Linked DNA regions of Macaca fascicularis. Each later gene encodes a partner of the first gene's protein in a complex. Links are inferred from orthologs where the notes say so. Each region holds a gene or a part of one and is shown in the gene's direction. Other genes may lie near its edges.

The links.
Region 2: the proteins of CRHR1 (region 1) and CRH are in contact, whole or in part, in a cryo-EM structure (PDB 6P9X), measured with the Homo sapiens proteins. The link is inferred for Macaca fascicularis from reciprocal best matches to the Homo sapiens genes CRHR1 and CRH. Residues at the interface, in NP_004373.2 of Homo sapiens: Lys113, Tyr116, His117, Ala119, Val120, Asn123, Trp169, Val172, Gln173, Met176, Ser177, Pro178, His181, Thr192, Tyr195, Asn196, His199, Phe203, Phe260, Gly261, Lys262, Tyr267, Tyr272, Gln273, Met276, Ile277, Leu280, Tyr327, Phe330, Phe331; in NP_000747.1 of Homo sapiens: Glu156, Pro157, Pro158, Ile159, Ser160, Leu161, Asp162, Leu163, Thr164, Phe165, His166, Leu167, Leu168, Arg169, Glu170, Leu172, Met174, Arg176.
Region 3: the proteins of CRHR1 (region 1) and UCN are in contact, whole or in part, in a cryo-EM structure (PDB 6PB0), measured with the Homo sapiens proteins. The link is inferred for Macaca fascicularis from reciprocal best matches to the Homo sapiens genes CRHR1 and UCN. Residues at the interface, in NP_004373.2 of Homo sapiens: Leu106, Asn107, Glu109, Lys113, His117, Val120, Asn123, Trp169, Val172, Gln173, Ser177, Pro178, His181, Gln182, Thr192, Tyr195, Asn196, His199, Phe203, Phe260, Gly261, Lys262, Pro264, Tyr270, Tyr272, Gln273, Met276, Ile277, Tyr327, Phe330; in NP_003344.1 of Homo sapiens: Asn84, Pro85, Ser86, Leu87, Ser88, Ile89, Asp90, Leu91, Thr92, Phe93, His94, Leu95, Leu96, Arg97, Leu99, Leu100, Glu101, Leu102, Ala103, Arg104, Thr105, Gln106, Gln108, Arg109.
Region 4: the proteins of CRHR1 (region 1) and GNAS are in contact, whole or in part, in a cryo-EM structure (PDB 6P9X), measured with the Homo sapiens proteins. The link is inferred for Macaca fascicularis from reciprocal best matches to the Homo sapiens genes CRHR1 and GNAS. Residues at the interface, in NP_004373.2 of Homo sapiens: Arg151, His155, Tyr212, Leu213, Ala216, Ile217, Leu219, Thr220, Tyr221, Asp224, Arg227, Ile290, Ile293, Leu294, Lys297, Leu298, Ala300, Ser301, Lys311, Lys314, Ala315, Val318, Leu319, Leu322, Phe362, Tyr363, Asn367, Ser368, Glu369; in NP_000507.1 of Homo sapiens: Gln35, Arg38, Ala39, His41, Val217, Phe219, Phe376, Cys379, Arg380, Asp381, Ile383, Gln384, Arg385, His387, Leu388, Gln390, Tyr391, Glu392, Leu393, Leu394.

Annotation. Positions count from the first base shown.
Region 1 is NC_088390.1:67,413,429-67,421,240, forward strand, and holds part of CRHR1 (corticotropin-releasing factor receptor 1), read left to right. Parts: intron 1-3,714; coding exon 3,715-3,821; intron 3,822-4,060; coding exon 4,061-4,147; intron 4,148-4,577; coding exon 4,578-4,698; intron 4,699-4,906; coding exon 4,907-5,060; intron 5,061-5,372; coding exon 5,373-5,433; intron 5,434-7,631; coding exon 7,632-7,704; intron 7,705-7,812.
Region 2 is NC_088382.1:76,162,294-76,170,316, reverse strand, and holds CRH (corticoliberin), read left to right. Parts: upstream 1-2,996; 5' UTR 2,997-3,168; intron 3,169-3,920; 5' UTR 3,921-3,934; coding exon 3,935-4,525; 3' UTR 4,526-5,023; downstream 5,024-8,023. Other genes in the region: TRIM55 (tripartite motif-containing protein 55), read right to left, coding at 6,832-6,954. UniProt on the Homo sapiens protein: Hormone regulating the release of corticotropin from pituitary gland. Induces NLRP6 in intestinal epithelial cells, hence may influence gut microbiota profile.
Region 3 is NC_088387.1:94,908,204-94,915,365, forward strand, and holds UCN (urocortin), read left to right. Parts: upstream 1-3,755; 5' UTR 3,756-3,847; exon of another isoform or gene 3,848-4,097; 5' UTR 4,098-4,110; coding exon 4,111-4,485; 3' UTR 4,486-4,605; downstream 4,606-7,162. Other genes in the region: mitochondrial inner membrane protein Mpv17, read left to right, coding at 2,068-2,137; TRIM54 (tripartite motif-containing protein 54), read right to left, coding at 5,424-5,515, 5,636-5,760, 5,872-5,894, 6,156-6,389, 6,920-7,015. UniProt on the Homo sapiens protein: Acts in vitro to stimulate the secretion of adrenocorticotropic hormone (ACTH). Binds with high affinity to CRF receptor types 1, 2-alpha, and 2-beta. Plays a role in the establishment of normal hearing thresholds.
Region 4 is NC_088384.1:114,906,099-114,910,330, forward strand, and holds the start of GNAS (guanine nucleotide-binding protein G(s) subunit alpha isoforms XLas), read left to right. Parts: upstream 1-1,432; 5' UTR 1,433-1,966; coding exon 1,967-4,097; intron 4,098-4,232. UniProt on the Homo sapiens protein: Guanine nucleotide-binding proteins (G proteins) function as transducers in numerous signaling pathways controlled by G protein-coupled receptors (GPCRs).

The DNA of each region.
Region 1 (7,812 bases):
TGGGGCCTCAGGCGCAGTCCGGGAGGGCACACTGGTGGCACATGAAACGGAATCTGGGGTCTGGGTTTGTGGGCCAAGGTTCATTGCTCACCGTCTGGGGAGAGGTGGGCAGTGGTTGGACCAGGGCTTCTGAACTGTATAGGTGCTTTTTCCTGAAACGAAGCTCCGATTCCGTGGGCCTAGCGTAGGGCACACATTCCACTTTCCTCAAGATCTCTGCGAGCTCCTCTGGGTGCTGCTGCTGGGCCAGGGGCTGCCCTTTGAGGACTGAGGGACTGGAGTGAGTGCCCGCGGTGGGGTAAGAGGAGTAGCTCTGGCAACTTCAGTGGAGAGGAGGTGCCAGAATGGAGTGGGCACCGGCGGGAGCTTGGAAGGGAGGTCTCATTGCCACCATCCCAGAGAGGCATCGGGACGGGTCTGGCACTGCAGCACCTGGGACGAGGTGGTGTCAGAGTCAGCCGCGCACTAATTGCTTATTCAATTCAGGTCACTGAGGGTACAGCGGAGTGGCCTCTGCCAAGTAGCATGCTGTGCCACCCTCCTTAGGGCGGGGTGCCTGCTGGTCTCAGGTCTCCAGACTGGACGGAGAGGGAGTGCTGGTCAGGGCCCCAGGGGTAGCTGTGCCCATTTGTCCTTTGGACATCCCAGCTGCTTTGCTGTTATCGTGGCCGTCGGTCGGTGTGTGACTGGCTGTCCCTGGGGGTGCTGCTGACTCTCCTCTCCAGGTGTCACTGGCCACCTCTCAGGGTGTTTCTAGGTGCCTTTTAAGGCCTTGCTGTCTCTCTAAATAATGCTGTCCAGAACTCTGGTTGTTATTGGAAATGTCACAGTGTCACTGGCTTCTGTCTGGGTGACGCAGGACGTATTTGTCTCAGGGTATCGGCAGCCATCCCTCAGGCTGTCTCTCCAGCTGTCTTCTCAAGCTGTTTCTCAGGTTGCATCATGCTGATGTGACCAATAAGAGAGAGGGCTTGAACCTGGCCTGGGCCCGACTGCTCAGGGAGCCACGCTGAGACACTCTGTCCTCCGGGAATGGTTTCGCCCGATTCTCCCTCTCAGGCTCTTGGGGAAAAGCCCTCATGGGTGCTATCCTCCTGGCAGGAGGTCCCCCGAGGCTCCTGGGCCCAAAATGGAGCGAGACCACCCCAGAGAGTGCCTCTGCTTTCAATTCCTGCTTGTCCCCCCAGAAATCTCCCAGGGGGCTGGGGACGGTGGCTCTCGCCTGTAATCCCAGCACTTTGGGAGGCCAAGGCAGGTGGATTGCCTGAGCTCAGGAGTTCGAGACCAGCCTGGACAACATGGCGAAAACCCATCTCTACCAAAAAATACAAAATATTAGCTGGGCGTGGTGGCGCATGCCTGTGATCCCAGCTACTCAGGAGGCTGAGGCAGGAGAATCACTTGAACCCAGGAAGCAGAGGCTGCAGTGAGCCAAGATCCTGCCACTGCACAACTCCAGACTGGGCGACAGAGTGAGACTCCATCCCTCCCCCACCCAAAAAAAGAAATGTCCCTGGGAAACCAGGAAAAGAGGGATTTCAAAGCCAGGCAGACTCAGGTTCCAGATGCCGGCTGCATGGCGTGGCCAATTATTCAGTCTCTTCAACGGGAAGAACTGGGATGAGAGGAGCAGTCTCCAAGGGCAGCTGTGGGAAAGAAAAGCAGTGGCATCTGCAGAGCTCTTGGCACAATGCTCAGCATACAGCAGGTGCTTAATAGATGACTCCTCCCCACTCCAACCCCAAGGGCCTGGTGCGGCCTGACTCAGGAGCGAGGTGGGGCCTGGCAGGTGGCAGTGAATGGTCTGCCTGCACACTGTGCCCTCCCGCCCAGCCTGGGCCTGTGAACAAGGCCGGGGTGTCATGCCATGCTCGGCTCCACACATGCTGTCATTACCCAGGGGCTTTTCAGCATGGATTTGTGGAAAATTTAATAAAAGGATATTAAATACCAGCTCCAGACAGCCTGTGATCCGTGCATATCTTCCGGAGCCTCCGGATTGGGGCATCTGCCGCCAGGCGCTTAGAGACCCCCCCACTTGCATGGGTGATGGGTCCCCTCTCCTCACTCCCCTGTGTCTCTCTCCTGCCTTTGTTTACACCTCCCTGGATCCCAGTCCTTTGGAGGCTGGAGTTGTTAATGTAATTTCCTGCCATGTTCCAGAAAGCCTCTGCCTGGAAACCAGCTCTGAGAACAGAGCTTCTGTAGGAGCCTCCGGACCTAAGAGGTTCCCGATGAGGATGCCCCTTCAGAAGGGCCTTGGTGGCCGGGCGGAACTGGGCATAGGGTCTTGGCTCCTCCTGGAATGCCTGGTGGATAGGGCTGGACTTGACCTCTGGTTTCGTGTGGGTTCTGTAATTCCAACAGGAAGGCCTGTGGAGTAGCTCCTTGGTGGCTCTGAGAGGATGATGAGGGCCGTTGTGAGCTCCCCACTTCTCGGCGCTTGCATGTCACCCGCTTCTGTGCCTCATGATCATTCAGCCCCACCCCAGAGCCTGGAAACGGGGAGGGAGGGAGGTGCTGCCAGGGACCCCTCCTTTCCCAAAGCCACCTGCTTTTCAACACCTGTCTTTCTTTCCTTCACTCACACAACTGCTTCGGAGTTCGACTGCGTGTCAAGCTCTTGGTTTCTAGGCCCTGCTTCTTGGGACCTATAAAAGTGTGGATGGGGGCTTTGCTCTGGGGCAGGAGTCTGCAGAGAGCTAGGCATGGGGACTGGCCAGTCCCCTATTATGGGCTGGGGACCTGTTTGCAGCCTTTGTACCTTGCCAGTCTGCACGTGCAGGCAAGAGGTGGTTTTGAAGTTGCGCGACCTCCAGTGCGTCAACATAACCTCTGTGCTGTTTTCCTACAAACTAAAGCCCAGAAGCCCTTCCGGCTCCCCCTATGGGGTTGCCCTGATGGTTTCAGACGATAACAGATATGAAAATCCTCTGTAAATGGGAAGGCTTCATCACTCTTGGAACTTAAGATTGCTGTAAAGAGGAGGGCAGTGACCTCCATCAGTATATTAAATTCATTAGGAAATAAACCCGGGAAATGTGTTCCAGTCCTGGGAGAGGATCCTGTTCACTTTGCACAGATCCCCTTGGGCCAGGGATGGGGAAGGCCCTGGAAAGTGAGTTATGGAGCCTAAGGAGACTGTTCTGTGCTTTCGGCTGATTCTGTGGATGCCAGAGCCCAGCAGCTGTCCGGCCCCTCCTCGCTCACAGGAGCAGGCGGCGTTGCAGCAGGAGGGATTCAAGGGCGGCCGAGACGGTAGTGACTCAGTTCAGAAATGGGTGGAGAAGATAAATCCCGGGAGGTTGGTGTCTCTGCAGCTGAGAGGTCCACCTGGTGTTCCGACCGGGTGGCAGCATGGGCAGATGCGACTGTGAGGGCGCACCTGTGAGCCGGCCACACACGCTTATGCGTGCAGAGGGGGCGTCCGTGTGGAGTGGGGAATCCCACGTGATGTGGAGACTCAGACACAACACAGAGCAGTGAACAGAGCATGGGATTCAGGGACAGACAGAGCCTCAAACTGGACAGCATTGCTCTGCAGCGAGGCCTGACCCACAGCAGGTACTCAGGAAGGGGGAGTGGCCCTTGAGATCATGACCTGCTCCGTCCCAGCCACCCCCAGGCAATGTCCTCATAGAGCGGCTCCCATCCAGCAGGCGCAAGGGCATGGCTGTGCAGAAAGCTCACCTCTGCCCCTCTCTCCTGCTCCAGAAAAAAAGCAAGGTGCACTACCATGTCGCAGTCATCATCAACTACCTGGGCCACTGTATCTCCCTGGTGGCCCTCCTGGTGGCCTTTGTCCTCTTCCTGCGGCTCAGGTGAGCAGACCCCAGCACTGCGTCCTCTTGTCCCCCGGCCCTAGAGCAGGAGCAGGGTGGAGAAGTGAGAGGAGCAGCTCGAGGTCGGGGTGGGGGTTGCTGGGAGAGGGTGGTAGGGCCTGGCTTATCTGAGAGTCTCAGGTCTCCGGGAACCTCTGGCAGGGCCGCTTTGCCCCCTCCGCAGTAGCTGCTGGAATGGTGGGGAGGGACAAAGCTTGTTTTATGTCACCCACACCCAGGACGGGCTGCACCCATTGGGGTGACCAGGCAGATGGTGCCCTGGAGGTGGGGGCTCCATGGAGTGGTGACCCATTTCAGGTTCGAAAGTACATGGGCCCCAGCACTACCGCCAAGGATGCAGGTGGCAGAGCCAGGGATGGGGATGGTTGGGATCAGGAGCCGAGCATCAGGGCTGGAGGCTGGGAGCAAGGCTGACCCCTGTGACTGTCCATCCTGGAATGGCAGGGAGTGGAAGGCACCCCCAGGGGAAGCAGGCATCCCCAGGAAGCCAGCTGCCCTGGTCCATGGAGTGCCAGGCAGAGCCTGGGGCTTTTGTCTGGGTGGGTTGCAGGCAGGAAGGGCTCCATGGGGCATTAGGAGAGCCTTGCTGTCACTTCCCTGTGTGACTTGGCCAGTCAGCCCTACCCTGTGCCTCAGTTTCCTCATCTACACATCTGGGTTGGGGTGATGTGGGTGGCCTGCCCCTTATCCTCTCTCTCCTGTCGCTCCCATCATCCACCTGCCCTGCTGCACCAGGAGCATCCGGTGCCTGCGAAACATCATCCACTGGAACCTCATCTCCGCCTTCATCCTGCGCAACGCCACCTGGTTCGTGGTGCAGCTAACCATGAGCCCTGAGGTCCACCAGAGCAACGTGGTGCGTCCTGGCGGGGGAGCGGGGAGCAGGTCAGGCCAAACCCACGTCAGAGAAGGGGCCCAGGTGGGCCTGCCCTGCAGAGGAGGAGCCCACAGAACAGGAGTGGGATCCCAGGGTGTGCCCCGTCCTGCCTGGGGGAGGCCCAGGGCCAGGGTTTGGTGCCACCCCTGCCCCTCATCATCATCTTTGGTTGGGGGTGGGGTGGCAGGTCTGGTGCAGGTTGGTGACCGCCGCCTACAACTACTTCCATGTGACCAACTTCTTCTGGATGTTCGGTGAGGGCTGCTACCTGCACACAGCCATCGTGCTCACCTACTCCACCGACCGGCTGCGCAAGTGGATGTTCATCTGCATCGGCTGGGGTGAGCTGGGCAGCCACCTCCCCAGCCTGGGCAGTGGCAGCCACCGTGCTGCCGTCTCCTCACCCAGACTCAGGCCAGAGGGCTGGGGGGCCTGAGGGATGGAGGTCGGGTTGGGGCAGTGGGGTGTGTGCCATAGCCCTCTGCTCCTCTTGGGGGTGGGGGGCAGCAGGAGCACCTTGAAGGAGGTGTGTGAGTTTGAGATCCACCCTGGGTAACCCTAGACCGCCTGGAGCCTGGGCTGCACTGGGGTCCTCCAGGCCCACATTCCCCAGCCCCCGCTGAGGGCTCTGTGACAGCCCATCTCTCCCCCAGGTGTGCCCTTCCCCATCATTGTGGCCTGGGCCATTGGGAAGCTGTACTACGACAATGAGAAGTAAGTCACCTCCTTTCCCTTCCTGCCCCCAAGGTTTAGGCTCCCAGCCTAGCTTGGTGACACTCCCAAGGGCCTTGGGCCATGCTGGCTTTCCCCTCAGGACCATGGCTTCTGCATCTGTAAAGGGAGGGATCTGGGGGGTTGGACTCATTCAGAGGGTCCCTGCCTGTGCTCTGCCTGGGTGGGACTGGACAAACAGGATCCAGCCTCCTTTATCTGCCTTGAGCTTACACAGGAAGCAGCCTGGAGCCAGACTGCCCAGGTTCAGAATCGTGGCTCCGTCATTAAATAGCTGTGTGACCTTGGACGGATTACTGCAGCGTGCCTCAGTTTCCTCATCTATAAAATGGACATACTTCCTCAAAGGGCTGTTGTGGGGTGATATCAGTCCATCTATATTAAGCATTTAGAATCGGACCTGGCACATAGAGCAAATGCTGTATAAATGTGTTCTCGTAATATTAAGACATCTTAATAGAAGAGTCCGTGAATTTAACAGAAGTGGACCTAGATGATCCCAGAGGCTTCTTCCAGCTCTGAAGTTCTTTGGTTCCTTATGAAACGGACTCAGGTGTTTCCAGTCGTGCCTGGAAACTTGATTTCTGCTGCAGTGGTGCTCAGCCTTGGCTCACATTAGAATCACCTGGGATGCTTCGAAAAGTACCAGTGCCCAGGCTTCACCGCCAGAGAGTCAGGTGTAATTAGTCTGGGGTGTGGCCTGGCACCCAGAATTCTTGAAAACTGCCCAGGTGATTCTAATGTGCAGCTAAGATTGAGAACCACTGAGAGAGGGGGGGGCAGAAAAGGTGGACGTGGATGGCAGGGGAGCCCCAGGACCTTGTTTGCCAAACAGGTGTTCCCAGGAACCTATCTGACTGACTGACCTGGCGTCCAAGTGGCCTCCACCACAGTGACAAGCCCTCTCCTCACCCCACGGAGGGGAGGGGGCCTGCATGGCTTCATTGGGCTGACGAAGGAGCCTGGAAGATTATCTTGCGTGTTTAGGAGGTTGACTCTCTCCTGACTCAGGCTAGCTGAGGCCTTGGGAGGCCGAGGCGGGTGGATCACTTGAGGTCAGGAGTTTGAGACCAGGCTGGCCAACATGGTGAAACCCCATATCTATTAAAAAAAAATACAAAAATTAGCTGGGTGTGGTGGTGCGCACCTGTAGTGCCAGCTACTTGGGAAGGCTGAGGCAAGAGACTCTCTTGAACCCAGGAGGCAGAGGTTGCAGTGAGCCAAGATCGTGCCACTGCTCTCCAGCCTGGGCAACAGAGCAAGACTCCACAAGCCTCAAAAAACAAAGCAAAACAAAAACTGTTTGGGCTAAAGGAGAAAGTGAGTCTGAGCGGCTCTGAAGCCCCACCTGGTGGTGAAAATTCAACACTGCAACAGAGGGGATCTGGGTGTGAGAAAGCAGAAACGAACTTGCAGACCAGAGGCTCAAGGACTGGACCCAGCCCACAGAAGCTGTGTGTGGCCGGCAGGGTGTTTTCTGGAAACTCGATTTTGTAGCCAAGCTTTAAAAAATCCAAAGGTTTCGTATACAAATCTCAATTTCTGGCTTATGAGATCTAGCCACTGGGGGTCTTCTTACCCACGGGGACATAAGGGCTTCCAGTTTGTCTGGTCCCCACCCACTCCCCAGGCCTCCCTGGAGCTTGCTGGAGGGACACTCAGGAAAATGCAAAGCAATTACCCCCTGCAGCAGGTAGAACCTGTGCAGATGTTCCTCTCAAGGTCGTTCGGGCTGCGATTGGACAGGTTCAGGCTGAGATTGAGAACTGCTGGGTGCCCACTGGGTGACACGTGTGGTACCACTCCCACCAGCAGCCCCCCAGAGGACATGCTGGGCCTCAGCCACAGCCAGGGGACCGTGAGGAGGAGCCAAGGATGCAGCTTGCGTATTGAGCTCACGCCCATTCCCGGCCACGCAGTCTTTCCCACTGTCTGCCTCCTGCCCCGATGCTTGCTTCCAACTTTGCATCTCATCACAGAGGATGCTGTCCATTCTGCAGATGGGACAACTGAGGCTTGGCAGTGGGATCAAGTGACTTGACCTTCTGCCAGGGTTGGAATTGGGACATCTACCTCCTGGCTTCCAGCCCCAGTCCTATCCTGGCCAAGCACTGTCCCTCCCCATGCCACCGAGGCAGATGCAGATGATGACTCCTCCCCTTTCCTCTGTGGCCTTCTAGGTGCTGGTTTGGCAAAAGGCCTGGGGTGTACACCGACTATATCTACCAGGGCCCCATGATCCTGGTCCTGCTGGTAAGACCCTGGGTAGGGGCAGGAGACAGGGCCCAGTGGGGAGGGGCGATCAATGCCAACCGTGGACAGAAAGGACCCCTCTGCCTAGAGGTGGGGGCCACCCAAGGA
Region 2 (8,023 bases), on another chromosome or scaffold:
TTAAATGCATCTTCTCAGGCCAGGCATGGTGATTGATGCCTATAATTCCAGCTGCTCAGGAGTCTGAGGATCACTTGAGCCCTGGAGTTCTAGGCTGCAGTGAGCTATCATGGTGCCTTCAGCCTGGGCAAGAAAGTGAGATTCTAGCTCTAAAATGTTTTAAAATTCATCTTTTCACCTAAATTTGTGTGCTCTGCTGGAAAAGAAAGTCCAAAGCTTATCATTACATTATGCAAATAATATGGGCTGGTAATCAAAAGAACTGAGTCCTAATTCTCACCTTACCACTAACTAGCTGAGTGACTTCAGGTAAGTCACTTAATTCTCTGGTTCTCATTTAAACCGAGTGATCTCTTTAAGTCATTTCTAATGTGAACACTGGGTGATTTAATGAGATATACATTTTGGATAATGATACGGTTAGGTTGTGTCCCCACCCAAATCTCATCTTGAATTGTAGCCCCCATAATTCCCACGTGTTGTGGGAGGGACCTGGTGGAAGGTAACTGAATCATAAGGGTGGGTCTTTCCCATGCTGTTCTTGTGATAGTAAATAAGTCTCATCAGATCTGATGGTTTTAGAAAAGGGAGTTCTCTTCCACATGCTCTCTCTTGCCTGCCACCATGTAAGATGTGCCTTTGCTTCTCCATTGCCTTTTGCCTTGATTGTGAGGCCTCCCCTACCATGTGATAATGTGAGTCAATTAAACCACTTTCCTTTATAAATTACCCAGTCTCTGGTATGTCTTTATTAGCAGTGTGAGAACAGACAAATACAGATAAATTGTGGCATGTAGAGGCTGCTGTGCATAGCTTCTCCTCCTCTGGGCTTCACGAACATTTTTTTCCTTACTCCCTAGTTGGAGCCACTTTGGCTCTATTAATGACATACCCCAAGAGAACCTCACAGCAAGGACTCAACAGTGAGGAGGGAGCTATACTAAAACAACATCCCCCAGATAGCCCAATGGGAGAGAGATTGGTATGGGAATGGGGTTAGTCAGAGCCCAAAACTTGTGTCTTCTCTGGAAGAACCTCCCAGACCTCCCCAGCTAAACTCATAACCACATCCCTTTCCTAGTTTCTCTTCTGTATCCATTTACTGCACTGAAACTGCCTATTCCAAGTCAATGTTTCACCTCCAGCTTGACATTCAAGCCGAAATCTGCTAACGGGGTCAGAAAACAGGTCATAAAGGAAAGTAAGCAAAAATGTTGAACCCATTCCAGCTTAACAACAACAACAAAAAAGCCCACAATAACAAAATCTGAGGTTCTGTGTGTTTTCCTACCAATATAAAACACAGCTTGCTCCCAGAAACTCAACCATTTTCCATAATCATGATCTATTAACAACTCACATCTTTCCAAGTAGGCACATTTCTTTCTCTGTTCTCTTGTGTCAAAAGTACATAACATGGTGCAGTGATCCAACTATGGGCTGGCTTCTCTGCAAACTGTCAGCATTTCTCTCCCTGCCTTCCCTTTGTTCCTAAGAGCAGTTGTGGATTGGTATAGACCCAAAGTGGAAGTTGAAACATGCATTGCATCATTTGTCACATTAGCTACAAAGGAAGCAGCAGAAGTAATCAGAAATGAGGAGCAGGAAGTTTCTGATAAACAACTTTGATGGTTATCTGGAAGCTGAATTGAATCACAGGCACAAGAACTTGGAATTGCATTTTGAATTGCAGAATTAAAGGTAACTGCCTCCCACCTATATGATAGTGTCAATTAATTCAAAAATTGAGTATAGTTTTACAGGCTTAGCATTCCATTCCATTCGGCGATACGTCAGAGAGCATTTATTTATTTAACAGGCTCACATGAAGAACATTTGCATTCGGAAAAAGAAATGATTAAAAAGAACCACCCTGGGTGGCCCAGATATGGATACTATTATGGATGTTGATAGTATTTGGAGGCGAAATGAATGAGATTACTTTTTACAGACTCAATATTGATCAATGAAAACATGTAACTGATGAATTTAGCCCTGTGGTCAAGCAGTTTAAGCCTTTTCAACATAGATTAGGACGTTAGAATGGACACCTCTCACTGAGTTTGCATTAAGTAGAATAAGTAAATCTTGTTTAACTCATGCATCTCTCACTGGCCTTCTCTCTCTTTAATTTGGGAATAGAAAAGGGAGTCCACAATTAATTTTAGATTGTGAGAAGAGAGACAAAGGAGGAGCAGAGAGTTTCTGAGAGAACCTAAAATCTTTGTCACACCCCTTACTAACCCTGGTTTGTGCTCCTTCACCATAGGAGTAGCTCTTGTCATCATTTTAAAAACTTCAACTGAATTTTAAGAGACTTATTGGCCTTGCTTCCTCAGGCTCATAACTCCTTTATGTGCTTGCTCTTGGGAGGAAAATGCAGATAGACGTTTAAAAGCTAGATGTTCCTGCACACCCTTCTCCTGATGCTTCATTCTTTTCCAGGCAGAAAGATGGTGGGACTCTGTCCCTAGCAAAGGGATATTTCCAGATACTGAGGTGTTGTCAGAGACACCTGGTCAGGGAGGTTAGGAGAAGGGGCATCCAAATCCACTCCCTCTAACTGGCTGCTGCTTTCCTGGCAGGTCTGCACTGGGACACCTCCCTTCCTTCCCACTTCCCCTTCTTCCTCCTATTCGCTGTCTCTTTGCACACCCCTAATATGGCCTTTCATAGTAAGAGGTCAATATGTTTTCACACTTGGGAAATCTCATTCAAGAATTTTTGTCAATGGACAAGTCATAAGAAGCCCTTCCATTTTAGGGCTAGTTGACGTCACCAAGAGGCGATAAATATCTGTTGATATAATTGGATGTGAGATTCAGTGTTGAGATAGCAAAATTCTGCCCCTCGTTCCTTGGCAGGGCCCTATGATTTATGCAGGAGCAGAGGCAGCACGCAATCGAGCTGTCAAGAGAGCGTCAGCTTATTAGGCAAATGCTGCGTGGTTTTTGAAGAGGGTCGACACTATAAAATCCCACTCCAGGCTCTGGAGTGGAGAAACTCGGAGACCAAGTCCATTGAGAGACTGAGGGGAAAGAGAGGAGAGAAAGAAAAAGAGAGTGGGAACAGAAAAGAGAAAGGAAGACAACCTCCAGAGAAAGCCCCGGAGACGTCCCTCTGCAGAGAGGCGGCAGCACCCGGCTCACCTGCAAAGCGCCTGGGAAGGTAGGGAGCGCCTGGACGGAACACACCACCAACTTTGCGTTGCCTGAGCTGCCGCGATGTGCGCCGCAGGGCCGGCTGCCACTGCCTGTGTACGTGTGTATGCATGTGTGTGTGCGTGTGTGTGTGTGTGTATGCGCGCGTGCGTGCGTGTGTGTGTTCGCGGACTGTTCCTTAAGATTACAATAGTAGCTGGGATGTGGCAAAAGCAAACTTAGACGGCTGCTCTTCTTTACCCGTGCTGCCAGTTGCTCCTAGCTGGCTGTGTAAAGGAGCTCCCCCACCCCCTTCTATCCTAACCCCCGAGAGAAAGCAGCAAGGGCAGGGGTGGAGAGGGAGGACCAGGAGGCAGGAGTTAATCAATTTGGAAGAAAATGCTGAAATATCCGAAAGGGAGGTAGTCAGCGCGGGTAGAATCTTAAATCTGTGGCTCTTCCCTAGGCTCGGGAAAATTAGTTTTGAGGATCATTAGGAAGAGGACGCAGGGACCGTCCCTTCAGAGTCTAGAAAGAAGGGTCACTCCTGGCCGGCGAGCGCTTGAGCTTAGGTGCGGAGCCCAGCAGGCACCCCCTTCCCCGCTCCCCAGGTGTTTCAGCACCGCGGACAGCGCCCACCCTAACCACTGAAGCCAGCACGTCTAAGGTAGTCCGGTAGGAGGACCTCGTGTGCACCTCCCAGTTGAGCGAACTCTCACCAACTCTTTCTTTCTCTCTTCCCCTCTCTCATTCCGCCCTCCGCCCACCTCTGTGCCGCAGCGAGTGCCCCTAACATGCGGCTGCCGCTGCTCGTGTCCGCGGGCGTCCTGCTGGTGGCTCTCCTGCCCTGCCCGCCATGCAGGGCGCTCCTGAGCCGCGGGCCGGTCCCGGGAGCCCGGCAGGCGCCGCAGTACCCTCAGCCCTTGGATTTCTTCCAGCCGCCGCCGCAGTCCGAGCAGCCCCAGCAGCCGCAGGCTCGGCCGGTCCTGCTCCGCATGGGAGAGGAGTACTTCCTCCGCTTGGGGAACCTCAACAAGAGCCCTGCCGCTCCCCTTTCGCCCGCCTCCTCGCTCCTCGCCGGCGGCAGCGGCAGCCGCCCTTCGCCGGAGCAGGCGGCCGCCAACTTTTTCCGCGTGTTGCTGCAGCAGCTGCTGCTGCCTCGGCGCTCGCTCGACAGCCCCGCGGCTCTCGCTGAGCGCGGCGCCGAGAACGCCCTCGGCGGCCACCAGGAGGCAACGGAGAGGGAGAGGCGGTCCGAGGAGCCTCCCATCTCCCTGGATCTCACCTTCCACCTCCTCCGGGAAGTCTTGGAAATGGCCAGGGCCGAGCAGTTAGCGCAGCAAGCTCACAGCAACAGGAAACTCATGGAGATTATTGGGAAATGAAACGGTGCGTTTGGCCAAAAAGATTCTGCATTTAGCACAAAAAAAAAAATACAGTATTCTGTACCATAGCGCTGCTCTTACGCCATTTGTTTATTTTTATATAGCTTGAAACATAGAGGGAGAGAGGGAGAGAGCCTATACCCCTTACTTAGCATGCACAAAGTGTATTCATGTGCAGTAACAACACAATGTTATTCGTTTTGTCTACGTTTAGTTTCCGTTTCCAGGTGTTTTTAGTGGTGTTTTAAAGAGAATGTAGACCAGTGAGAAAACGTTTTGTTTGAAAAAGCAGACAGAAGTCACCCAATTGTTTTTGTTGTGGTTTGAACCAAAGAGAATGCCATTCTCTTGGGTGGGTAAGACTAAATCTGTAAGCTCTTTGAAACAACTTTTTCTTGTAAACGTTTCAGTAATAAAACATCTTTCCAGTCCTTGGTCAGTTTGGTTGTGTAAGAGAATGTTGAATATTTATATTTTTAATAAAAGCTGCAAAGGTAATCATGACTTTATTTTTTCTCTTCAGTGCTCATACACTGGAAATACTCTCATCTCTTAGCTTCCTCCAAATTGTCTTCAGCACCAGAAAAGAAAAACAAAACTTCCTGCATTGTACTTTTCCACTAAAAATGCAAACATATATCAGTGGCTTACACAGACCCTGCAATCACGTTGGGCTCATCTCTGTGCCATGGACTACTTCTCTGAGGTTGAGTTAATAATTCAGGAAGTTGCTCCCAGCAGCTCTAAATCATGGTAATTCTAAAAGGGAAGATCATTTTATAATGGAAATAACATTTAGCCCTGATCAATTAAAAGATGTGAAATAATTGGAGAGAGTGGGGAAAAGATGAAAGGAAAAGGGAAGTGTCAAGGTAGAAATTCCTCCAAACTATATGACCAAAATGCTGCATTCTTTTTCTATGAGAAAGACTCACTCTGTCAAACTACTACTTTGGTACCATGAAACAGTTTTTTGTAAGCTATTTTCCAATTACTACTTCTAATAAGAGAAACTTAATAGCATCTCCACTTAAGATGACTAAATTTAGTCATTATAAAATGTCACATAGGAAAAATTTTCTTATGAAGAACATTTTGACTTTAATAATTACACAAATATCCTCCACATTTATGCCTAGGCCAACCCTACCCACTTTTATTCTTAGGAACATGAACTACCTTTATTCATTTCTAAAACTGAACAGCACATTTAATTAGTTTTACAGTGCATTTGCCTTTGGTAGTTTAGTTATAGCTTTAAACAATTCAATCAAATATTTAATACTTCAAAATTAATTTGTATGAAGATGCATCTTATCCTGGGACCTTTGAAATACACTTAACTAATAAATGAATAAGATAATACATAACATTGAATAAATCATTATAAGACAAAGCTTTTAAAAACATCATTTATTTAAGAGTTCATATAGAGTAAAGTTACACTTACGTTCTGAAGGAGGCATTATGGTGGGACAAATATTAACAAAGCATGATTTAAATATATATATATATATGTTTAGTGTGTGATATGTTTGTATATATATTTAAATACATGCAATTGTTCTACAATTTACCAGATTGGTGCCACAGTGAATACAAGAGAAAGTAGACAGCTCTTGCTGGAAGATCTTTTTCAATTAAAGTGCCTAATATATGAAAATCTAAAACTAATATTAGAAAAATGTCATAAGAGATGCCCAGGCCTTCAGCTTTCTGGACCATGAAAGTGTCACCAGATTCAAAGAACATTTCTGAATGTACATCCAGTGATATCTGTTACGCAAAAGAGGAAAACTTTGTGAAACATTTCATAGCTTTGGTCAATGATTTACTTTTTGTCCATGTATTGATAAATCAGTCACTTCTGAGTTGACACTGATTTTCACTGACCACCTGCACTGTTAAAGAGTAAAGGAAATGAGAACTACTATAATATAATAACAAAAAGCCAGCGCCTATGAGAGACAAGAGCATAGTGACCACTTTTTTCACCATTTGCCACTTGTGACTGACATACACATATACCACACTTACACACCCTTCACAATGTTTCCCACACAATAAAAGATTTGCATAAGATCAAGTTTATTATTTCCAGTGCTTTCTGCAACTATTTTCTCAAAATATTCTCTCCCCCGAATATGTTAGATAAGTCATCTGGAATTACAGTTTTGGGTTATTTTTGCAGAAATCCTGTTCAGAGGTCCCTTTCATCATTTGCATAATATTAATTTCACTTGGGCTTCCTGCTGCCCACATGCATCTCAGCCAGGCAGACAGAGGGGCAGCAGTTGGAATGAATATCATTCATTTAGGGAGTTCAACCAGGAAAAGGAGAAGATATGGCGAGCTGGCTCAGAATCAGCTCCACTGCCACTCGCTGGAGCTGCAGCCTGTCCCTGGAGGGGAGGAGCCTCAAATCCAATCTGCAACGGAAGAAAATGGGAATCAGAGAAAAAAAGAGATTTGTTAATTTTGGATTGGTCCAGTCACTTTTCTACTGAGGAGAAAGTATAATAATAACAATTATTATTATAATAACAATATTATTATATGGGACATAATCATTAGAAATGGAAAGCAAGCTCAGATTATTTTGGCTACAGCCAAGAGTCATGAAAATAATTCACCCTTATGATACAAAAAGAAGGAACAGTAATGCATGCAGTGAAGAGAAGTTCTTGGGAAAAAGGAGTTCAGACTATACCAGTTTTTTTTTTTTTTAAAGCCCACTTGTAAATGATTTATTCAGATGAGAGTCTCATTGAAACTGCTAGGAATTGGGTTTAGAAAAGCTTGCAGAATTTTAAAAATATTCCAAATTTAAATGACACTGCTATGCCACATAACATTGTGGGACATAATATAATCCCTCCACTGCTGAAAAAGTTTCTACCATGTACATACATATATATTATCTTACTATACGTTTTGCAAAACTACAGGCTTAATTTTGGGTAAATCATGATGGGATTTTTTTCTCTAGGTAATAAATTCTAATAACCATATCCATATTAAATCAAATCCAATATTTGCTGAAATGCAATTTGATTTTATGAGCTCAAACTCTTTACATTTCAAGGTACCATGACAAACGCCATTCTTCTTAGGAGAACTATGGATAAATAAGCAAACATGTTCCGATGACATCACTGGTAAAACTATCCCACCAGATTAGAATGCCACTGATTTCAAAGCAATGAGGTAGCCACATGCATTCAGCTCAGAAGCACTGGATGATTTTATGAAGCTGCAATATGAATGGATAATACCTGGCACAAGCAAAGCAGAACTTCGGTTAAGTACATTGTTTTACTGCCACTCAAAATAGTCTTGAGAGCAAAACAAGTTATTGGTCTGCACTTTACCAGATTTTACCCTAAACATATGTTTGGGGATGATGTTTCAAGAGCAATAAAATTATCCTAAGTCTTTATGGCTTTGGGATAATCCTTTGTGCTGCCACATCATTTCCTGATAGAAAGTTAAAAAGGG
Region 3 (7,162 bases), on another chromosome or scaffold:
AACTGGAACACTGAGCCCTGATCAGAGTTTCTCAGATTCCCAAGCATGTTATTCAGATGTCTAGCCATTTCCAGAAACCGTCCAGAGTGTCTGCCCACTGACCTTCTTCATCTCCCTAGGGAGGATCCTGCTTCTACCACCCTTGTCTCCATCCCACCTGGGGCTCCGCCTTTGATGGCGTATCTGGAGGGACAGTGGCTGGGGTGCTGCAGCCTAGGTTAGACAGAGAGGTAGACCAGAAAGCCAAGTAGAAGCCTGGCCAGACACTCATGATAAAGACAGTTGCTGAACTGCACCCAAAAAAATAGTGGAACTGAAGATGTGTGGTTCAAATGCTTGGAGGTGAGGGATTGTGGGAACAGGGGAAAATAAGGGGGAACATGACCAAAATGTACATGAATAACATAGCTAAAATGAATACAGACTGGCTGGGCATGGTGGCTCACACCTGCAATTCTAGCACTTTGGGAGGCTGAGGCGAGAGGTTTGCTAGGGTCTAGGAGTTTGACACCAGCCTAGGCAATATAGTGAGACCTCATCTCTACAGAAAATACAAAAAATTAGCCAGGCACATGGTAACATATGCCTGTAGTCCCAGCTACTTGGGAGGCTGAGGTGGGAGGATCACTTGAGCCCGAGAGATGGAGGTTGCTGTGAGCCAAGATTGTGCCACTGCATTTCAGACCCTGGTGACAGAGTGAGACCCTGTCTCAAAAAAAAAAAAAAAAAAAAAGGCTGGGCGCAGTGGCTCACGCCTGTAATCCCAACACTTTGGGAGGCTGGGGCGGGCAGATCACAAGGTCAGGAATTCGAGACCAGCCTGACCAATATGGTGAAACCCTGTCTCTACTAAAAATACAAAAATTAGCTGGGCGTGGTAGCAGGTGCCTGTAGTCCCAGCTACTCGGGAGGCTGAGGCAGGAGAATTGCTTGAACCTGGGAGGCAGAGGTTGCAGTGAGCCAAGATCGCACCACCACACTCCAGCCTGGGCAACAGAGTGAGACTCCATTTCCAAAAAAAAAAAACAGAAAACAAAAAAGGAATACAGGCCGGGCGCGGTGGCTCAAGCCTGTAATCCCAGCACTTTGGGAGGCCGAGGCGGGCAGATCACAAGGTCAGGAGATCGAGACCACAGTGAAACCCCATCTCTACTAAAAATACAAAAAATTAGCCGGGCGCGGTGGCGGGCGCCTGTAGTCCTAGCTACTCAGGAGGCTGAGGCAGGAGAATGGCGTGAACCCAGGAGGCGGAGCTTGCAGTGAGCCGAGATCGCGCCACTGCACTCCAGCCTGGGCAACAGCGTGAGACTCCGTCTCAAAAAAAAAAAAAAAAAAAAAAGGAATACAGACTTATGAACCAAATCTTAAACATTAGGGTCCTTTGCAACACTCTTTGAAACCAGAGCAAGGTTAATTTAAAACAAAAAGATGCTACTTTGTATGGTAGTCCGTACATTTTGGAAGATGAAATCTCAGCTGGTACAGGACAGATAGGGGCCCTTTCTGTGATTAACAGAGCTACATGTGGCAAGAGAGCCGCTAAATATTTAGCCTTTGAGGAAGGAAACAGAGCTCTGGGATGGCACTAGAATTTGAGCCAGTTGTCCTTTAGTCCAAGCCACACAGGCCCTTCACAGGGCACTGAAGGGGCTGGGTGCGGTGGCTCACACCTGTAATCCCAGCACTTTGGGAGGCCGAGGTGGGTAGATCACTTGAGGTCAGGAGTTTGAGACCAGCCTGGCCAGCATGGTGAAACCCTGTCTCTACTAAAAATACAAAAATTAGCCAGGTGTGGTGGAGCACACCTGTAGTCCCAGCTACTTGGGAGGCTGAGGTAGGAGAATTGATTGAACCCGGGAGGCAGTGAGCCAAGATCGCACTACTGCACTCCAGCCTGGGCGACAGAGGAGACTCCATCTCAAAAAAAAAAAAAGGCGCTGAAGGAAAGAGACCTAAACCTGCCAATCTTCTGACATGATCCCTCCTTTTCCATTTCACACTCTCATCTCCAGCCCTTGCTCACTGCTTAGCTTTCCTCCTCTTCACCGTGTTATTCTTGTTCCTTAGGTTGGCCGTTGTCCAATGTGTTGCTGTTATCTGGAACTCCTACCTGTCCTGGAAGGCACATCGGCTCTAAGCCGGCCTCACTTCATCGTTTCCACCTTGCAGTGATGCAGCTTGGCCCTGGAACGGTCAGACAACTTCCTAAAGTGGGCACACTAGTTTCCACAGGGTTGGGTTGCCAGTCAGAACTTAAGAGGACTAGCACCCTGCAATGCTCCCTTCACTCTAAAATGTGCACTGACTGCTTTAGAGCCCTTGATAATAGTCTTATTCCCACCACATACTAGGCACTCCATAAATATCTGTTGAACTTTCATGACCTTATCAACTTTACACACATATCCCAGCAAATGCCACTCATCCCCACTCTTCATAGACACATTTGTTACTCTAACCCTGCCTAGCCTTGTAGCTCCAGCTCTTCAGAGACCCCCGGAACCCTTTATATGATGCCTCAGTAAATATGTTATTAAATGTGTCATCCGGAATCTGCAGTGGTAATGGGGAGTCATTTCTAGAGCTGGAAAGAAGCCAAGAGACCACCAAGCCCAATCTTTTTTTTTTTTTTTTTTTTTGAGATGGAGTCTCGCTCTGTCTCCCAGGCTGGAGTGCAATGGCGCTATCTCGGCTTACTGCAGCTTCCGCCTCCTGGGTTCAGGTGATTCTTCTGAGGAGCTGGGACTATAGGTGCGCACCGCCATGCCCAGCTAATTTTTGTATTTTTAGTAGAGATGGGGTTTTGCCATATTGGCCAGGCTGATCTCGATCTACTGACCTCGTGATCTACCTGCCTCGGCCTCCCAAAGTGTTGGGATTACAGGCGTGAGCCACCACGCCTGGCCAAGCCCAGTCTTCTACAACTGAGAACCCTGAGGTTGGTAGAAGGGAGGTGACCTGCCCACACCAGGAGTTAGCAGAAACTTGAACCCATATTTCTTTACTACTCATGGGCAGAGTAATACTGCTGCTATGATTCCCAGGAGAGAAACGGAACTTTGCTAAACTACCACTTTGGACAAACTCAAAAGCAGATGGGCCATATTTGTGGTCTGAACGCACTTGGAGGCCAGAGACCCTCTGTTACATGGTGCCTGTGTGAGACAGCCCTAGAATTTGGATCCTGGGGCTGGAAAAAGATGAGAATGCTGGGAGACTTTGGTTGTGGAAGACTGCCTCTCAATGGGACCCACTGTGTTGGCTGAGTGCCAGCGGTGGACTCCTGATACCTGCATTTGCAGAACTGATAGCTGCCACGAGGCAGTGGTTTGCAGCAGTACAGCGTTCTCACATCATCTCTAGCCACTTCTAGAGGCGCAGGACGAGGTCAGCACCATGGACAGCCCCCACGGTCCCGCCTCCCTTTCGTGTGTCAGAACACGCGACCCGGACTAGTCTGGTCTGGTGACGGCCCTAGTCACTGCTGGCGGTTCTAAGCAGGGCGAGGGACTCCCGTGGGTCCCAGAGCAGTCCTTTCGCCCCAGCCAGCTTCTCGCTCTCCTGCGTCCAGTGCTGCTTCCAGCGCTAGCCCCAGGGAGACGAAGGCTCATGTCGGGAGGTGTGCCCTTCCGGGGCCCGCCAGCCGCCAGACTCGAAGCTGTGGCTGTCATTGCTTCTACAATCAGTGCATGTTCTTCGCTGACGTCAGTCGGAGCTGTCCTGTCGCTATATAAGGCTGGCGGCAGTCCCGGGACAGACCCTGTGTTCCCCAAGGCGCCTTCGGCCCGCCCCGAGGGACAGAGACTGGAGCTCAATCTTGGACCGTACAAACATTCGCCGACAACCTGTGAGTGGCTCAGAGCGTCCACCCAGCCTCCCCCAGCACCAGGACTCCACTCAGCTCAGCCACCGCGCTCCTTCGGGAGGGAAGCTGGGTGGAAGGGATGGAACAGCACTGGCGCAGTAGCCGGGGCTGGAGGGCAGGCTGCGGGCATTGGGCGGCTACCGGAAGGGTCGCCGGGCGAGCGCAGGGAGGGGAGCGGCCTCCTGCAGCTGCCCCAGGCGCACCTCACCCTGCGCTGCCCCTGTGTGTCCAGGGCCGGCGGCACCATGAGGCAGGCGGGGCGCGCGGCGCTGCTGGCCGCGCTGCTGCTCCTGCTACAGCTGTGCCCTGGGAACAGCCAGAGGAGCCCCGAGGCGGCCGGGGTCCAGGACCCGAGTCTGCGCTGGAGCCCCGGGGCACGGAACCAGGGCGGCGGGGCCCGCGCGCTCCTCTTGCTGCTGGCAGAGCGCTTCTCGCGCCGCGCAGGGTCCAGCCGATGGGAACCCGGGACGGCAGGCGAGCGGCCGCGGCGGGACAACCCTCCTCTGTCCATTGACCTCACCTTTCACCTGCTGCGGACCCTGCTGGAGCTGGCGCGGACGCAGAGCCAGCGGGAGCGCGCCGAGCAGAACCGCATCATATTCGACTCGGTGGGCAAGTGACGGCCCGGTTTGTGGCCGCGAAAACTTTGACCCCTTTCCCCCACCCCAGGGTTGGGATGCGGGGCAGAGCCACCAGGGCACTCTCTGCTTGACTATTTTTTAATAAAAGTACTGAAGACCCGTTGGCTTCTGTCGTGGGGGCAGGGCAGTCACAGCAGCGTGGGAGCCCGTGGGAAGGTGGGGCCCCCGGGCCAGCGGGAGGGGAACAAAATGCTGTGGGGGGCTCCAGGAGAGCGGCTTTCAGCCAGGTCAGCCAGGTGCCTTTGAACTCCAGGGGTCCCCAAATCCCTAGGACCTCAGAGGTCCCAGCACCACCGCCCCGCCCTCGACCCTTTTCCCAGGGCGCTGGGCTCACCATTTCGCTCCTGGCATCACAGAGGTGCCCAATAGGGGTTCATTTGGCTTCCGCCCCCCGGATAGTCTCAGGTTCTGGGAAGGGCAGGATGGTGGGCGGGTCGCCTCCGAAGCCGAGGCTGCGGCATTGGGCAGCGAAAGGAGATACGGGTCGGGGACGCTCGAGTTCTTTATTGAGATCCTCCTGGGGCGGGCGCCGATTTGGGCGATGCCGCGGTCTCTGCGCAGATCCTCCCCGACCCTAGCGCGGGCGCTCGAGCAGGGTCGGGTTGGCGCAGGCCTGTACCCGGGAAAGAAGGCTCGGTGGGCTGGTGCTGCGAAGGCGCCAGGCAGCTCGAGCCCCGCTCACTCCGTCCTCCGCCACGTGGGTTTCTCCTCTACTCAGCCTGCCTTGCCTGCCTCCCAGCACCCCGAGGAACGGCGGGTGAGGAGGAAAGTGTATTTTTCCGCCCTTTGTGGCTCCGGGGTTGGGTGGCACCGACGAATGGGGGCTTCATGCGACCCGCAGGGAGGACAATCACTGGGGGAGGGGACGCGAGCACACCAGCCAGGCCCCACCCCAAGCCCCTCGGGCCGCTCTCACCTTAAGGCCCATCCGGCCGCTCTTCCTCCGGCCCCGCGCTGCCCTCGTCTCCGTCCAGGGCCACCTCCTCATCTTCTTCCTCCCCGGAAGCGCCTGGGCCCAAGGAAGGCCTGGTGAGGTGGAGTCCCTGCCTTTCCGGCCATCGTGCCCTCCTCACCTCCCACACAGAGGGTCCGAACCCCAGTCCCAGCGGCCCTCGGCCACCTCCCTCACCCGGCTGGAAGTCGATGGTCCGCAGCATTTCGGCCACGTGTTCCACGCTCACGGTGAATTGCTCCATGCTCTCATAGCCTGGCTCCGGCCGCCCTGCCAGCTCCACCTTCGACATGGCCCCGACCCTGCGGTGGCCACACGGACTCAGCTGGCAATGCCCCAGCACCCTCAAGCCCCGCCCCCAGCCAGTGGAGCAGCCCAGCCCCCTCCTTTCCCTTCCCGCTGTGCCTACTCACTTATTGATCAGCTCCTTGGCCTGCTGCAGGGAAGAAAAGGAGGGTGAGAGTAAGCACCGGGCCAACCCGGGCAAAGTCCCATTTCTGAGTCTCACCACAGTCCTGTGGGGTAGGTGGGAAGGCACATCCCAATCGTTAAGTAGAAAATGAACTCAGAGGGGGTGACTTGCCCACGGTCGTAGTGGCAAACAGGTGCAAGAGACAAGACTTGAACCTGGGTCTCCAGGTACCAAGGCCCCGACTCTAGCCACTGTGCGGCACTGCTACCCTCCCCTAGGGCCCACCTGGAGGTAGAGCGCCATCTGTGGCTCTTCCATGGACTGAATGGCGGACTCCACCAGCTTAGAGGAGGCCTCCAGGTGGTCGCCATACTGACGGATGAGGCCGCGGACGCGCTGCAGCTTCTCCTCTTGCTCCCGGGCCAGCGCCTGCAGCAGCTCGCCCTTGCGCTCCTCCAGCACTGCGCACAGGCTCTCAAACCTCTGGTTTAACAACTGCTTCTGCCTCCGGCTATTGTCCTAAAAGATGGGGAGCAAGGATGAGGGAAGGCGTGGCTGAGACCCGGTGGCTGGGAAAGCACAGGATACTCACAGAGAACCAACACAGAAAGTGACCCACCCATAGTGACACTGTGCGTTAGTGGCTGAGCCAGAATCCAGCCCAGATCTTTTCCATAATAAAAACACAATACTTTAAAGTAGCTTCACTGAGTGTTGTCTATATCCCTAGCCCTGGTTTTTATTTGCATTATTCCATATAATTCTCAAAAAGAACCCATGAGGTAGCTGGTGTACCATTTATCATCATCACTGTTTTATGAGGTTAAACAAAACCAAAGCACAGAGAAGTTAAATAATTGGATTAAAGTTTTGCGGAAAAGCTGGAATGAGCACCCAGCAGCCTGGCAAAAGCACCTCCCACCACTCCCAGGACCCCAGAAACTTTTGGACCAGTTTGGCCAGAGGTCAGAGAGGAGCAGTTCTCTTGGGAGCCCGGGGTCCGCAGGCCAGCCAGTTGCTGTTCCCCCTGCCCTCCAGCCCAGGCTCACCTCAATGGTCTGGCACACCTCCTCCATCTGCGTGATGACTGCTTGCACACGGTCATTGCCTGCCACTAGCATCGCGATGCCATCGCTGAGCTCACTCTGATACACACACAGGTTAGCACTTAGAGCTGGGACCTCACCTAGAGCTATACCCCTCACCCCAGCCAGGGTTGCCTAGGAGAGGGCTGGCCCCTCCACCCCACCCCCCATGAGGGCATCTACAGCAATCTAGAAGGTTTGAACCAT
Region 4 (4,232 bases), on another chromosome or scaffold:
GATGCGTTAGACTAGACGGTATCGCACCGTGCAGTGGTTCGCCCGCCTGCAGCTCCCATACAGCAGCCCGTGCTGTGCGCCCTGCTTGCTGCAGCCCGCCCTGTGTAACGCTCATCCAGCCTCTCCTCCCGCAGGACTCTGCAGGTCAGGTGACCCCCTGCCTCCTGCCCAGCTGCTCTGTGCCTAGACGTGGTTCACCAATCTGTCTTACTGGTGAGACCGACCTGATGCGCACCTGCCGGGTTTTACGTGACCCCCTAACAGCAGCTTTTCTCCCGGGCTCAAATCCCTCTGCAGACCCCAGACCAGAGCATAGCATGTGCACACACCAAGGTCACCAGGTGGTTTGGGTATTTACCTTTGGCTAGCTCTGAGCCCACCGCAGCATGGTAGCGGGAGCGCAGCTGCGCGGGCAACCGCCGGGTTTGTGGCCGGTTGGCGGGCTCAGTGCCGCCTCAGTAGGCTCTAGCAGTGGAAAACTAAAGCGACTACCCTAAGATACCCATAGCGAGAGGAGAGGGGCTGGAAGGGTGCTGGAGACAGGCTGTAGTGGGGCTAAAGGAGCAGACTGACCGGTGCTGCGGCCGGCACCCGAAGCAGCGAGCAGCGCACCTCAGCTGCGGTTGCCGCGCGGCATGGTGTTTATCTGTGGGTTCAGTGCCCACAGCGTTGTCCACTCTCGAAATCACCCTAAACCGGCCATAAACGCCAACCAAAATCCCCTTTAACCCTTCCCTAGAACCGCAGGACCTGCGAAACTCTGCGGCCGCTTTGTGGGGTCCCCCTCTGCGCAGCACGCCCCCCACCCCTCCATCGGTGCCACCGCAGCTACTGCCTAGGGGGCTTTGCTCTTGGTGGTACGCACCCGAGACCTTCTTATTCCCCTGCGTCACCATCCACATAAACAAGGGAGCACCCTGCTTGCGCTGCGTGGGCCACTGCGGAGACCCCTAGAGTGTGATGAGGGTGGGGGCTGTTAAAGTGCTTTACCGGAGCCAACCTCAGCAAGCAACAAACAAAAGCAGTAAAAAGTACACCCAAGGCATTTAAAAAACAAATTGTGTGCTCGCATACTCGGCATCCCCTCTCCCTCGTCTCTCTCTGCTTCTCTGGTGGGCTCACGACCACCTGTCGCATCCCCACGCATGCCTGTGCCCCTTCTCAGGCACCAAAAGCCTTGCGCTCTGGACTAGGGGCTTGAGATCCGGAGCTGCCTGGAGGCTGGGGGCTATGACTCAGTGTTTCAGGGGTATCCTGGGGTGATGAAACCCTTCTTCAGTCCCCCCTCCCCCGAGGAGTCGGTTGGGTTGGGGAGGGAGGATTTCAGCTCCTGTACTCCAGCGTCCCGAGGCCCACGTCTTGCGTCACGTGTCCCGCAACGCAGGAGAGCTTTCTCTGGCCAGGGGAGAAGCGAGGAGAAAGATTCCAAATCAGTCAGGGAGAGGAGTGGAAGGAGCCAAAACGTCCCTGCGAGGCCTGCGCTCGTCAGCCCCCTTACCCAAAGTCCCGGGCCGCGGCGCGAGGAGCAGGATTCTGGAGCTGGAGCCAGCTCGGCACTGGAACCGGCGTCCTCTGGTGGCAGCGAGAGAGCGCTACTGGCGATTTTCGGACCGAATCGGCACGCTCGTCAGATCCAAGCAGGCGGGACTGGCCTGGAGGAGAAAGAAAGAGAGAGGAGGGCATAAGGACAGACCAAGGAAGAGGGGCTGGGGGGCATACTGAGGGGATAAAAAGTGGCCAGAAAGGAGCCAAGACTCCACCAGCAACAATTGAGTTGCTTCAGCCTCAGTCTAGGGTTCCAGGCCTTGAAGCCCCCCAACCTCACAAGGGTTGGAAAGTGAGGCTGGTGAACTTTCCAGCTGGTACTTTGATTTAAAAATAACAATAATAATTTTTTCACCCTAGTTCGGTTGGGTGCTCCGTCTTACGGAGCCCCAAACTTATTTTGAGAGGCCGCCACCCTGTTATGGGCGTGCGCAACTGCCTCCACGGCAATAATATGTCAGGACAACGCGATATCCCCCCTGAAATCGGGGAACAGCCCGATCAACCATCTTTGGAGGCCCCAGGGGCAGCTGCCCCCGGTGCTGGGCCTAGCCCAGCCGAAGAGATGGAGACCGAACCGCCTCACAACGAGCCCATCCCCATCAAGAATGACAGCGAGGCCTGTGGACCCCCAGAGGTCTCCAGGCCCAACTTTCAGGTCCTCAACCCGGCATTCAGGGAAGCTGGAGCCCATGGAAGCTACAGCCCACCTCCTGAGGAAGCAATGCCCTTCGAGGTCGAACAGCCCAGCTTGGGAGGCTTCTGGCCTACACTGGAGCAGCCTGGATCCCCCAGTGGGGCCCATGCAGGCCTTGAGGCCTTCGGCCCAGCATTCGTGGAACCTGGAGCCTTCAGTGGTGCCAGACCAGGCCTGGGAGGATACAGCCCTCCACCAGAAGAAGCTATGCCCTTTGAGTTTGACCAGCCTGCCAAGACAGGCTGCAGTCAACCTCTCTTACAGGTCCCAGACCTTGCTCCAGGAGGCCCAGGTGCTGCAGGGGTCCCCGGAGCTCCTCCCGAGGAGCCCCAAGCCCTCAGGCCTCCAAAGACTGGCTCCAGAGGAGGCTACAGCCCTCCCCCTGAGGAGACTATGCCATTTGAGCTTGATGGAGAAGGATCTGGGGACGACAGCCCACCCCCGGGGCTTTCCCGAGTTATCGCACAAGTTGACCGCGGTGGCCAGTTCGCGGCAGTCGCGGCCTCGAGTGCGGTCCGCCTCACTCCCGCCGCGAACGCGCCTCCCCTCTGGGTCCCAGGCGCCATCGGCAGCCCATCCCGAGAGGCTGTCAGACCTCCTCCTAACTTCACGGGCAGCGGCCCCCCGTTGGAGATCTCCGGACCCCCGCTCGAGATTGGCAGCGCCCCCGCTGGGGTCGACGACGCTCCCGTCAACATGGACAGCCCCCCAATCGCGCTTGACGGCCCGCCCATCGAGGTCTCCGGAGCCCCAGATAAGAGAGAGCGAGCAGAGAGACCCCCAGTTGAGGAGGAAGCAGCAGAGATGGAAGGAAGCACAGCCGCTGATGCCGCGGAGGGAGGAAAAGTCCCCTCTCCGGGGTACGGATCCCCTGCCGCCGGGGCAGCTTCAACGGATACCGCCACCGGGGCAGCCCGTGCAGCCCCAGCGGATCCCGACTCCGGGGCAGCCCCAGAAGATCCCGACTCCGGGGCAGCCCCTGCCGCCCCGGCCGATCCCGACTCCGGGGCGGCCCCTGACGCCCCGGCCGATCCCGACTCCGGGGCGGCCCCTGACGCCCCGGCCGATCCCGACTCCGGGGCGGCCCCTGACGCCCCGGCCGATCCCGACTCCGGGGCGGCCCCTGACGCCCCAGCGGTTCCAGATGCCGGGGCAGCCCCTGACGCCCCAGCCGATCCAGATGCCGGGGCAGCCCCTGAGGTTCCCGCGGCCCCTGCGGCTGCTGAGACCCGGGCAGCCCATGTCGCCCCAGCTGCGCCTGACGCCGGGGCTCCCACTGCCCCAGCCGCTTCTGCCACCCGGGCAGCCCAAGCCGCCCGGGCGGCCTCGGCAGCCCCTGCCTCCGGGGCCAGACGCAAGCTCCATCACCTTAGACCCCCCAGCCCCGAGATCCAGGCTGCCGATCCGCCTACTCCGCGGCCTGCTCGCGCGTCTGCCTGGCGGGGCAAGTCCGAGCGCAGCTGCGGCCGCCGCGTGTACTACGATGAAGGGGCGGCCAGCAGCGACGATGACTCCAGCGGAGACGAGTCCGACGATGGGACCTTCGGATGCATCCGCTGGTTTCAGCATCGGCGAAATCGCCGCCGCCGAAAGCCCCAGCGCAACTTACTCCGCAACTTCCTCATGCAAGCCTTCGGGGGCTGCTTCGGTCGATCTGAGAGTCCCCAGCCCAAAGCCTCGCACTCCTCCAAGGTCAAGAAGGTACCCCTGGTGGAGAAGCGCAGACAGATGCGCAAAGAAGCCCTGGAGAAGCGGGCCCAGAAGCGCGCAGAGAAGAAACGCAGCAAGCTCATCGACAAACAACTCCAGGACGAAAAGATGGGCTACATGTGTACGCACCGCCTGCTGCTTCTAGGTAATGCGGCGGACTCTGCCTGCGGGCAGCAGGGCCGCCGGGGAACTGGGTAGGGGGTGGCAGGGCTGCCTGCTGGGGCTCGGGGCTCGACAGTGGGAGGAGGGGATCCAGCCAAAGGCGGGAAGAGCTTGCTAG